Linked DNA regions of Canis lupus familiaris. The protein of the gene in region 3 interacts with the protein of the main gene of each other region in a pairwise test. Links are inferred from orthologs where the notes say so. Each region holds a gene or a part of one and is shown on either strand. Other genes may lie near its edges.

What was found.
Region 1: the proteins of CEP76 (region 3) and THRA interact in binary tests that used the Homo sapiens proteins (3 or more experiments, as listed by UniProt). The two-hybrid records come from large-scale screens. The link is inferred for Canis lupus familiaris from reciprocal best matches to the Homo sapiens genes CEP76 and THRA.
Region 2: the proteins of CEP76 (region 3) and CABP5 interact in binary tests that used the Homo sapiens proteins (3 or more experiments, as listed by UniProt). The link is inferred for Canis lupus familiaris from reciprocal best matches to the Homo sapiens genes CEP76 and CABP5.

The regions. Positions count from the first base shown.
Region 1 is NC_049230.1:22,426,277-22,429,793, reverse strand, and holds part of THRA (thyroid hormone receptor alpha), read left to right. Parts: intron 1-19; coding exon 20-87; intron 88-690; coding exon 691-791; intron 792-2,928; coding exon 2,929-3,076; intron 3,077-3,517.
Region 2 is NC_049222.1:108,853,883-108,857,399, reverse strand, and holds part of CABP5 (calcium-binding protein 5), read right to left. Parts: 5' UTR 3,306-3,517; coding exon 3,243-3,305; intron 1,756-3,242; coding exon 1,725-1,755; intron 1,177-1,724; coding exon 1,033-1,176; intron 179-1,032; coding exon 69-178; intron 1-68. UniProt on the Homo sapiens protein: Inhibits calcium-dependent inactivation of L-type calcium channel and shifts voltage dependence of activation to more depolarized membrane potentials. Involved in the transmission of light signals.
Region 3 is NC_049228.1:78,159,689-78,163,205, forward strand, and holds part of CEP76 (centrosomal protein of 76 kDa), read right to left. Parts: intron 2,889-3,517; coding exon 2,750-2,888; 3' UTR 2,737-2,749; exon of another isoform or gene 2,435-2,736; intron 1-2,434. UniProt on the Homo sapiens protein: Centrosomal protein involved in regulation of centriole duplication. Required to limit centriole duplication to once per cell cycle by preventing centriole reduplication.

The sequences.
Region 1 (3,517 bases), on a different chromosome or scaffold from region 3:
CCACTTTGCCCCCATCCAGTGCCAGGTCACCAGATGGAAAGCGAAAAAGAAAGAACGGCCAATGTTCCCTGAAAACCAGCATGTCAGGTGAGCCAGGCTGTGTGTGCCTTTCCTCCCCACCCACAACCCCACTAAACCAGGCCAGGGCTCTTTCGGGGCCTGAGCATGGACCAGCAGCTCCTGTGTCCCTTGGGGAGAGCTTCCTAGAGGGCTTGGGACCGACTTGTCTGAAGGTTAGAGGGGTGAAGAGGGCATGCCCCGGCCTTTGAGGATGGATTAGGTCAAGAAGGGCCTCTTCCCTTCTCCGGCAACCCCCTTGCCTGAGCCCTACCCCCCTGCACCCTGGAATCAGAGTCTGGGCTAAGGAGCCAAGGGACTATATTTTCCAGAGATTAGCTGCTGACATGTGCTTCTCCTGCATTCCCCCTCCCTGCCCCTCAGATGCAGCAAGAGAAAATCCCCAACTGGGCAGTCGGAAGAACTGGGATTCTCCATATTCTTAGGGAAGGGGATGGACAAGATGACCTCTGACGTGTCTCCAGGATTCTACCTGGACACAAAACCCTTCAAGGAGGCTGGGCTAGGGGATGGGCCAGGAAGGAAAAAGTTGGGGGAAGAAGAAAGTGTAGGAGCCTCTCTGCTGGGGGCCCAAGCCATGCCTGCCTGCCTGCCTCCCTTCCTCCCTCCCAGGGTATATCCCTAGTTACCTGGACAAAGACGAGCAGTGTGTCGTGTGTGGGGACAAGGCAACCGGTTATCACTACCGCTGCATCACTTGTGAGGGCTGCAAGGTATGGACCAGCCAGCTCCTGCCCCTCCCCTGCCACCTGAGCCCCCATCTCACCCACCTTAAGGCCCTCAGCACCTGGCAAGGCCAGCCCTATGAACATGTCACCTAAAGCCCACCTGTTGCTCCACCATTGCTCTCTCTCATTCATTTGTTCATGCACAATCTCTGCTCTGCCACTCATATGTAAGATGCCTAATTTCTCTGGGCCTCAATTTCTTCATCTATAAAATGAGCATAACCGTCCTACCTACTACTTCAGAGAGCTGTTGGGAGAATTAAATGAGCTAAGTCATGGAGAGTATTTAATAACAGTGCCAAGCACATAAGAAGTGCTCAATAAAAATCCCAGCTATTGTCCATCCATTTGGTGTATCAGCTATGAGGGATGTAATATGTGCCCTGCCCTTGGGCTGCTCATGGCCTACCCAAGAGAGGTACACTAGAAACAAACATCATTTTTCAAAATGTGGTTCATGGGTTCAGTGCAGAGCCCCAGGTCCCATTCCAGCCCCACTCAGTCAGACCTCTTTGTGGTGAAGCCTCGTGGACTCTGCCTTGAAACTGGTTCCCTGGTTGCTTCCCCTGCATCTAGAAGGTTGAGAACCAGTGTTGGGGGTCGGGGCATGGTGGGGCCCAGAGTGGGAGAAGATGACAGAGTGTCCCTGGGCAGACGGGACAAGGTCATAGACTTGGGGAGCCTTAATTAGATCTCACTTTGCTCATTTTAACCTGCTAGGGTTTTCCAGGATCATCACCTCGTGAAAATGTAAGACCTTCCAAGAAACAAAAGTATTTAAAAATATGTTAAGGCTTCCAGTTTCTCTCTTTCTTAGTATCAACCAAGCCAAGAGCACCCGGGGTTTAGCATCCTGTAGCATTGTTCATGGAAGCAATACAAATAGCGTAACATAGAGCAAGGATCCTCACCCTCAAGGACAGCAAAGTCCTAGAGGAGCATCCCAGAAAGACAGAAATGCCTTGGCCCTACCCCAAGAGAGTCTGATGTAAGTCTAGAGTGAGACCCAGGAATTGGTATTTTTTCATAAGTGCATTAGATGATTTCAATGCACTGCAGAATCTGTGAACTCGGACCTTGTGTCCCATACGTCAGGTCCAGTTCTGGCTCTCCTGCCCATCTAGCCAGTATTACTTTGGGCAGATTGCTTACTCTCTCCAAACTTCAGATTCCTAGTCTCAAAATGGGTTCCTACCTCATGGGGTTGACACAGCATCAAATATGATGATGCACCAAAAAACAAAGCAAAACAAAACAAAAAACCCCACAAATGCTTTAAAAAATAAACAAAAAAATGCTTTTAAGTGCCTCATAGCATTCAGCACATGTTAATTCTTGGTATTATTACTGCCATCTTGATTCTTGAGGTTTTTCCTTTATTTTTTTTAAATTTTATTTATTCATGAAAGACACACACAGAGAGAGAGAGAGAGAGAGAGAGAGAGAGAGGCAGAGACACAGGCAGAGGGAGAAGCAGGCTCCATGCAGGACGCCCGACATGGGACTTGATCCCAGGTGTCCAGGATCACACCCTGGGCTGAAGGCGGCACTAAACCACTGAACCACCCGAGCTGCCCAGGTTTTTCCTTTAAAGCAAAGATGAAACCCTATATATAGAATTAAACATTTTCTTTTAAAGCTGGTAGGGTCCACATACACAGTGCATTTTCTTGATTTTTTTTTTTTTTTACCCCCTGCCCCATTTCAAGAATTCCACCTGCATGAGCAGCAGGCACCATGTATAGGAACGGTTTGGGGAGGTCAGTTTTATTTTCAGAGTTGGTTAGCAAGATGGAAAATGAGATATCAGTTGGACTTCCAAAGCTGCTCTTCCTTCAGGCGTCATAGCACCTGACACCATCCCAGGCTCATGTCTCTGTACTGTGGTCCTCATCCCTACCCCTGCCACCACCACTACCCACTTGCCCCTGCCCCTCAGCAGCCTAGGAGCTGAGGGCACATGTTTCTATGGTCCTTTGACCCAGCCAAGTGATCTTGGGCTTGCTGGTGTCAGGAGGATGCCAGGCTCCCTCACTAATCCCCCCACACCCCAGTGGACTGCATGGTTGGTTAGGGAAGGGGAAATCACGATCACTCCATGCTTCATCTCCCTCCACCCCAGGGCTTCTTTCGCCGCACAATCCAGAAGAACCTCCATCCCACCTACTCCTGCAAATATGACAGCTGCTGTGTCATCGACAAGATCACCCGCAACCAGTGCCAGCTCTGTCGCTTCAAGAAGTGCATCGCCGTGGGCATGGCCATGGACTGTAAGGGGTTGCAGGGGGCAGAGTTGAGCCAGATGGCTGCGGGTGGGGGTGATTTCAGGTATGACTGCTTCCTGCCAGGGAATCCTCAGGACACTCAAGGCAGAGTGACAGTCCACCTCAGGCTGATAGTGGAATGAATGTTCGGGATCTTGGTCCCTGCTGCCCTGAGGAAAAGGAAACAGGATCTCTCTTTGAGCCCTACATGTGGGCCCCAGTGCCTACCTGCCTTTCAGCACTCCAGGGCTTTAGAGAGAGTTGTCAGGTAGAAAGGAGTCCTGAGCATCCCACCCTAGCACAGGGTTCTTGACTATAAGAGAAGGTACCCCACTTCTGGGTGAGAGAGGGCATCTTGCATCGCATCGGCTAGAGATCAAATAGCAGGGTCTTCTAGTAACCACTTATTGGAACCCTTTAGACCAGGATATGCGAGTCACCTGGATC
Region 2 (3,517 bases), on a different chromosome or scaffold from region 3:
GGAAGACCAATCATAGACTCCTGGTGTTTCTTTCAAGTACCCCCAACACCATGAAAATCTTAACTCACTTCCTTGAAGGCGTCTCTCATCTCCTGGACACCGATCATCCCCGCTGTTTCCTCAAGGAGTTTGGGGGTCATCAGCTCTACAAAGTCCTCGAAGTCTACACGGCCACCCACTGAGGACAGAAGAGGCAGGTTTAGTGAGAGTCCATGTAACCAACCCTTCACTACCTCTCTGGACCCTTCCAGATTGGTTTAAGAGGCAGACCTGCTCTGATCTCTCTGCCATCTGAGAAATTTCCCTCTCAGCCAACCCGGAGCCCAGGGTCCCTCTAATCCGAACCCGGGTGGACGGATGCATGGGGTGAAAGAAACCAGCTGTCCCTGTGACCTTGGGAAAAATCTCTTAATTGGTTCAGATCTCTGCTCATCTGTTGGTCTGTAGAAGGGGGAGCATGAATTGAGTGGGAGCCAAACCTCTTCCAGATAGAAACACAATCCTGTCTTTGGGTTCAACCTTGTTTACTCTGTGGCACGCCTTAGAGCAAAACCCCAGAGTAATTTGGTCCCAGCTTCCTTCTCAAAATGAGCTCTGGAACCCATCCCAAGTTTGTTTCCAGAGGCAGATACGGTTCCAAGCTTGCCCTCTACCTTTGCGTCTCAGTGGTCATGGTACTAACCTACATTGATAACCGTTTACTGGAGGCTAAGCCTTGACCTGCATCAGCTCCTTCATCCCAATCCCACAAGGAGTGACAGATGGGAAAAATGAGACTCAGGAGTGGAAGTTGACTCCACTTTTCAAAAGCACCACAATCAGTACATGATAGAAGTGGGACTTGGACCCAGATCTGCCTCCAAGAGTCACCCTTTTATCCACTTCAGACGCTGCCTCCCCGAATCCAGGCTGAACTGTTTGCTTCCAGACTCCTAGTGCCGCCTACCCTCTTCCTTCGCTGTGGCTCAGCCTCCACATCCCTCCTGCTTCCACCCCACCCACTCCCAGCAGTCCTCCCCGGCCCAGCCTCACAGTTCATGCGGATTTGCTGGCCCAGTTCAGTCAACTCCATCTCCGTGGGCATGTAACCCATCGTCCTCATGAGATTCCCTAAATCCTTACAGGAGATGAACCCATCTCTGTCCTTGTCAAACTCAAGAAATGCTTCCCGGAGCTCTGAAAGTTAAGAGAGAAGAACCTTGAGGGGACTCGAAACAGTCAATGGGGAAGACTGGCCATCCCTTGAAACCATCAGGGAGGTACTGACTAGAGACTCCAAAGGAGAAGATATCTTTGAAAACCAAAATTTAAAAAAAGGAGTGATGTATGAAACATGGACAGAGAGTGCAATGAGCAAGATTGAAATGTGCAAGAGGAATGATCCGTGAGACCGCAGAGTGATGGCACTGCGGTCCTCCAGATTCTGGGGTGACGTTATAGGGACCTTCAAAACCTCCAAAAGAAAAAACAACAGTCTTGGATTCATCTTAAAACTCTTGCATCTGTCACTCCTGGGTCTCTGAGACGCTTGGGGATGGGTGTGGTGTGCCTTCTGAACACTTTGGGAGGCTCCCAAGCGACTGTGTGAGAGAGTTCTACAAAATCATGGCTGAATGGGAAGAGAGAGGTGTGTGAAGCTTTCGTGGGAAGGGTCTACACTGAGATGCACAGGAGAGCAGCCTAGTGGCGGATGACAATGAGGTGGCATTTGGGGCAGGGGTTACCTTCGATCTCATCTTGTCCCAGGGGTCTTTCCTGGAAAGGAATGTAGAGAGAGGGAATTTGAGAGGGTCAGGGATCCCATATCTACTTCTCCAAACACATCCCTCCCTCCTCTGGACAACCCCTCCCCGACCCCTCCTTGTTCCCAGTTCTCCTCTAACTCCCCTCCTCTTCCTTCTCGTCTCCTGATTCCCACCCCTGACTGTGTGCTTCCCGCCCTCTTCCTCATCACTTCCCATTTCCTCTCTCCTATCCCGGGATCTTGATCTCTGTCCCTCTGCCTTTCCTGAAGAGACATCCATCCCATTGTGCTAGCAAGGGGTCTTCTATGTCTTGGCATCCCATCCCCTCCTTTCTTCAGAACAAGAGAGTAAGGCTCAGAATCACAGCTAATGCGCTCAGAGTGCCAACCCTGTGCCCGGTGCCCACAGTCACTTCACTGAAACCTCAGATCCACCCCAGGGGGTAGGACCACATAGCATTCCCATCTTAAGAGGAAGCTGAGGAACAGAGAGGTTAAGGTTAAGGGACACAGCTCTAAGTGGCAGAGACGCTCCCAAGGCAGGGAGACATTAAATCACTCCCTGGAGGTCATGCAGCAGGCCAGGTGCAGCGAGGGCTGAGATTTGAATTCTGAGCCAAAATTCTTTCCACTACACCCGCTTGATTCCTTTCCCACCGCCCCCCATTTTTTCTCCCAAGGGTTAGAAGCTGTTTGCGTGGGAGCCAGTGTTCGGTGGCATCTGGGCAGGATGCTCACTGCCAGCATGACCAATTCTTCAACCAGCTAAGCATTTCCAATCCCTGATGCCACCACTGCTCTCAGACACACCTGAAGGGTCAGGCTGGGTATAAGGCACACCACCTGTGGACTCCACCAGCCTCTGGCCTCCCCCTTGTTCCTGGAGCCTTCCCCTGAGCTTCTCTTTCTCATGATGCCCTCCCCCCTCAGGCCCATCTCTCTCTCTCTCTCTCTCTCATCCTAAAGCCCAACAATGAAAAGTAAGCCCCCTGGATCAAATAGACTTGATGGGACCCTGCCACTCAGTAACTATAGAAGGCAAGGGGCTTTGTGACTCAGAGCCTCCATTTCCACATCTGTAAAATGGGAACGCAAGTGTGGCCAACCGTGAATGTGGTCCTGAGGATGAAATGACAGCAGGAAAGCAAAGCCCTTTGCGTAGGGCTGGGTGCATAGCAGTGCCTCAGTAAGAGGCAGTTGTGTCATCACCGTCATGGTTACAGGTGTCCAGAGAAATGAGAGGTGATGGACAGGGACATCCCAGTTCCCCTTTTATTTGCAGGTCTCCTCCCCTTCTCCCTTTTGCTGCTGAGTCCGGAGTTTACCTTCACTCACCTCACTGGCCCACTGAGCTCCCAGAGTTCTACCTTCTTGGTCAGGAGTCCCCCTGAGGCTGTGCCCCTTATCCCGGCCCCTTGCACCTGTCATGCCCCTTCCCTCCCCACACCCTGGCCCCCTTTGCCCTGTCCGTACCCTTTCCCACTGTCTGCCACCTCACCCGCTGTTTCTCAGCGATGCCTTTCCTCAGGAAGATGCAGGCGGGGCCCATGGGAAACTGCATGGAGGGGCAGGGCAGGGGCACCAGGCAGCAGGCTCAAGTAGGCTTCCCCTCCTTCCTGTCCCCCTTGGCGTGCAGCCTCCTTATCTTCTCTGGTGCTCCTTTGCCAAGTCTTGCTGCCTCTCTTGGCTTCTCCCTCGGTCCCAGTGTCCGAGAGCTGTGACAGCTGGATCAGAAATCTCTCCTGGGGTTGGGGAGGGATCAGAGCTGTCCCT
Region 3 (3,517 bases):
TCAGTTATATAGCACAGAATACTACTTTAATAGCAAGTTTTTCAAATATAAAGCCTACTTTTCATTTGGTTCAAATCTTGTCTTTTTTCCACTTTTTAAAATTTTTTATTTATTTATGATAGTCACACACACAGACAGAGAGAGAGAGAGAGGCAGAGACACATGCAGAGGGAGAAGCAGGCTCCATGCACCGGGAGCCCGACGTGGGATTCGATCCCAGGTCTCCAGGATCACGCCCTGGGCCAAAGGCAGGCGCCAAACCGCTGTGCCACCCAGGGATCCCCCAAATCTTGTCTTTGTTAAGAAGTAGAAAAGTGGGTTTCAAATATGTATTTTCCAGAACTGCTAGGTTTCAGGTGTTTTTGCAGATCATATCAAAAAATGTACACCTCAATAGTAGAAAAAAGTTCCAAGGCATTTGGAGTGTTCACTTAGTTGGAACTAAATTTAGTAAGTTTTATTCAACAGGCTCATGCTTGAGTAATGAAGTTTCTAGGTTTCTGATAATCTTCTACTAAATAAATACACCTATATATTATATACACACACATATAAATGTATAGAGGACTGTATTAGTGTACATATTGTCAAAAAGAATAAAGACATATAAAAATTATTTTACATTTTTAATAGGAAAACAACTTTTATGACAGCTAAACAGACAATGCAAATTCAATTTTTAAAAAGAAACATTAGTAATAAGAATTCTAATGATAAAATCACTAAAAGAATCTTTTGAAATAAACCACCTTTACAGAAAATTATTCATGTTGGAGTCTATTAAAGTGCATAAATAGAAAATTTATTTTAGAATTTATACCAAAGATGCATTATGAATATACATGTGTTTTTCTGGTCCACCCAGCCTCAAAGATAACATAGCCTTAATCTTAACATGTCTGCCTTTAGTGCCCCATAAATAATTTGTTCCAAAAGCTGAAAATTATAAGCAATTTTCCCTATTGATACCTTATGAATAATTCTGGTAACAAAGTAAAAAAGTCTCAATTCTTATTTTGCTAATTCTCTAAAGGTATGTCAGTCTCACAAGAATATCTGATTACTGTTTTCAATGAAAATTGAAAGTAGAGGGATATTTTCAGATTTTTAAAAATAAGTTAAATCATAAATATTCATCATATGTAAAAATAAACAAAAGGTAAATTTTAGGGTATCTCTAGATTTTCATTTTTAAAAAAACATTAAATCATTTTATTTACAATTAAGTGATGAAAAGAGTAATTTGCATAGCCAACTGGTACACACTGTTGGCTTTTTTTGTTTTTTTTTAAGTTGGTTCCATGCCCAGCGTGGAGCTCAATGTGGGGATCAGACTCACAACTCTGAGATCAAGGAGATTAAGAGTCAGACACTTAACCAACTGAGCCATCCAAGTGCCCCTCTTTTTAGAGAAAGTGCTGCTTTTTTTTTTTTTTAAGATTTTATTTACTTATTCATGAGAGACACAGAGAGAGAGAGAGAGAGAGAGAGAGAGAGGCAGAGGGAGAAGCAGGCTCCATGCAGGGAGCCCAATGTGGGACTCTATCCTGGGACCCCCGGGGTCAGGCCCTGAGCCCAAGGCAGACATTCAACCACTGAACCACCCAGGCATCCCCCCACAGTGCTTTCTTAAAAAGACCAATAGATGAAGCAACTGAATCAAGATCTATGCACAGATGCTAAATGGGCAATCCAATCTATCAATTATGTCATGCAGCTTCTTACAAAAAGTCAAACTACTACTGCTTTTTTGATGCTCAGTTTTAAAACTAACTTCTAAAACTTGCTCAGTTTTAAAGCAAGTATCAGCATGGAGTCTCTCACATATGCTCATTTTTCAGGGGCCTCACATAATGATTCTCCAATTTAGAGTAATTGCATATACTCTGGTGTTTTTATCACAATGAAAAAAAAAAAAAGGAAAAAAGAAAAACAAATGTGATTTCATAAGATGGAATCCATAAAGAGGCCAGTAATGAATCCTCTGACTACCAAGAATCAGCAACAGACTGCCAATAATAATTACAGAAAACAGTATATCAGTGTCGTAACAAAAGGGTATGGTGAGCTTCTTCTAAAATACTCAGTTCATTTTTATATAATGAATCAAACTAATGTATTTATAAATTATTCATTTATCTTTATGTGAGATTTGTTTTATTAATATTTATGCTTTTCTGGTATCAGTTTTTCCTACTCTTGCATCAGAATCTTCCCATAAATCCCTGGAAAGTCACAAATATCCCTATGGCCAATGGGTAAGCCACAAAAGTGATAGTTCATCAAAATGTATTTTCACCTATTTAACAAATCTGTTGTGAGGTTAATTTCTAATTTATATAAAATAATCCCATTAATCATTAATCTATGAAAAATAATGATCATATTGATTTTTTTATGGCTCAAACCCTTAGACAAATAAACCTCTCTCTGATTACCTGTTAATGTAAAGAAAACTGAGTAAATTTTATTTTATTCATAAACTACTGAATACCTGTAAACAATGTACCATTTATTAAAATAGACACTTAATTTATACTAAATTCCACTCAGACTTTACAAGTTTTTTATCCTTAATTTTTAAATACACACATGATTTTTTTCAAACTATTATCAGGTATATACAAAAGTGAAATATGACATCCAAGCCAAAATGTGATTTTTAAAATAATGAACCTCTAAACAGCTATAATGTACAATGTGTAAAATTCCAATAAAACACAGGTAGATTCTTACAGAAATGTTAGTCCTATAATACCGAGCGATATTTACAAGCAAACATGATCCAAACAGCACATGCAGATTCGGGGTAAGTAAACACTCGGACACGAACTGCCAGTCGCACCTGGTCTCCACGGCAACAGATTATTTCTTCACAGAAAGGAGACCTACAAAAGAAAACTTATTTAATTAAGAAGTGAACACAGATTTTACTTTATCTCCAAATAAGTCCATTCCATATTTAAAATAATTTTTAAAAATCTAGTCTCTGCAGAACATGAGAGACTCCTTACTCTGGGAAACAAACAAGGGGTGGTAGAAAGGGAGGTGGGCAGGGGGTGGGGGGACTGGGTGATGGGCACTGAGGGGGGCACTTGATGGGATGAACACTGGGTGTTATTCTATATGTTGGCAAATTGAACACCAATTAAAAAAAAAAACAAAAACACACACACACACAAATCTAGTCTCTGTTACCAATAGCCCTATGATTTTGGTTTAGCTATTGAAATTACACAATATTTTCTCAGTCTATAAATTTAAAAAATTACACTAGATAAGATTAGAAATCCTCAGCTGAGATTGCACCAAAACCAACGGGAAAATTATTCCAACTACCTAGAGCCACATTTCAGACCTAATGAATCACAATCTGTGGCAAGGAAAATAAATCATTATAAAAGTTCACGTGATTCTAAAGTCATTCCTAAACGACCAGACTAACAGACTGCTAAAAGTCTAGGTTAATAGGGACACCTGGGTTGCTCAGTAGGGTGTGCGTCTCTCAACTTCAGTT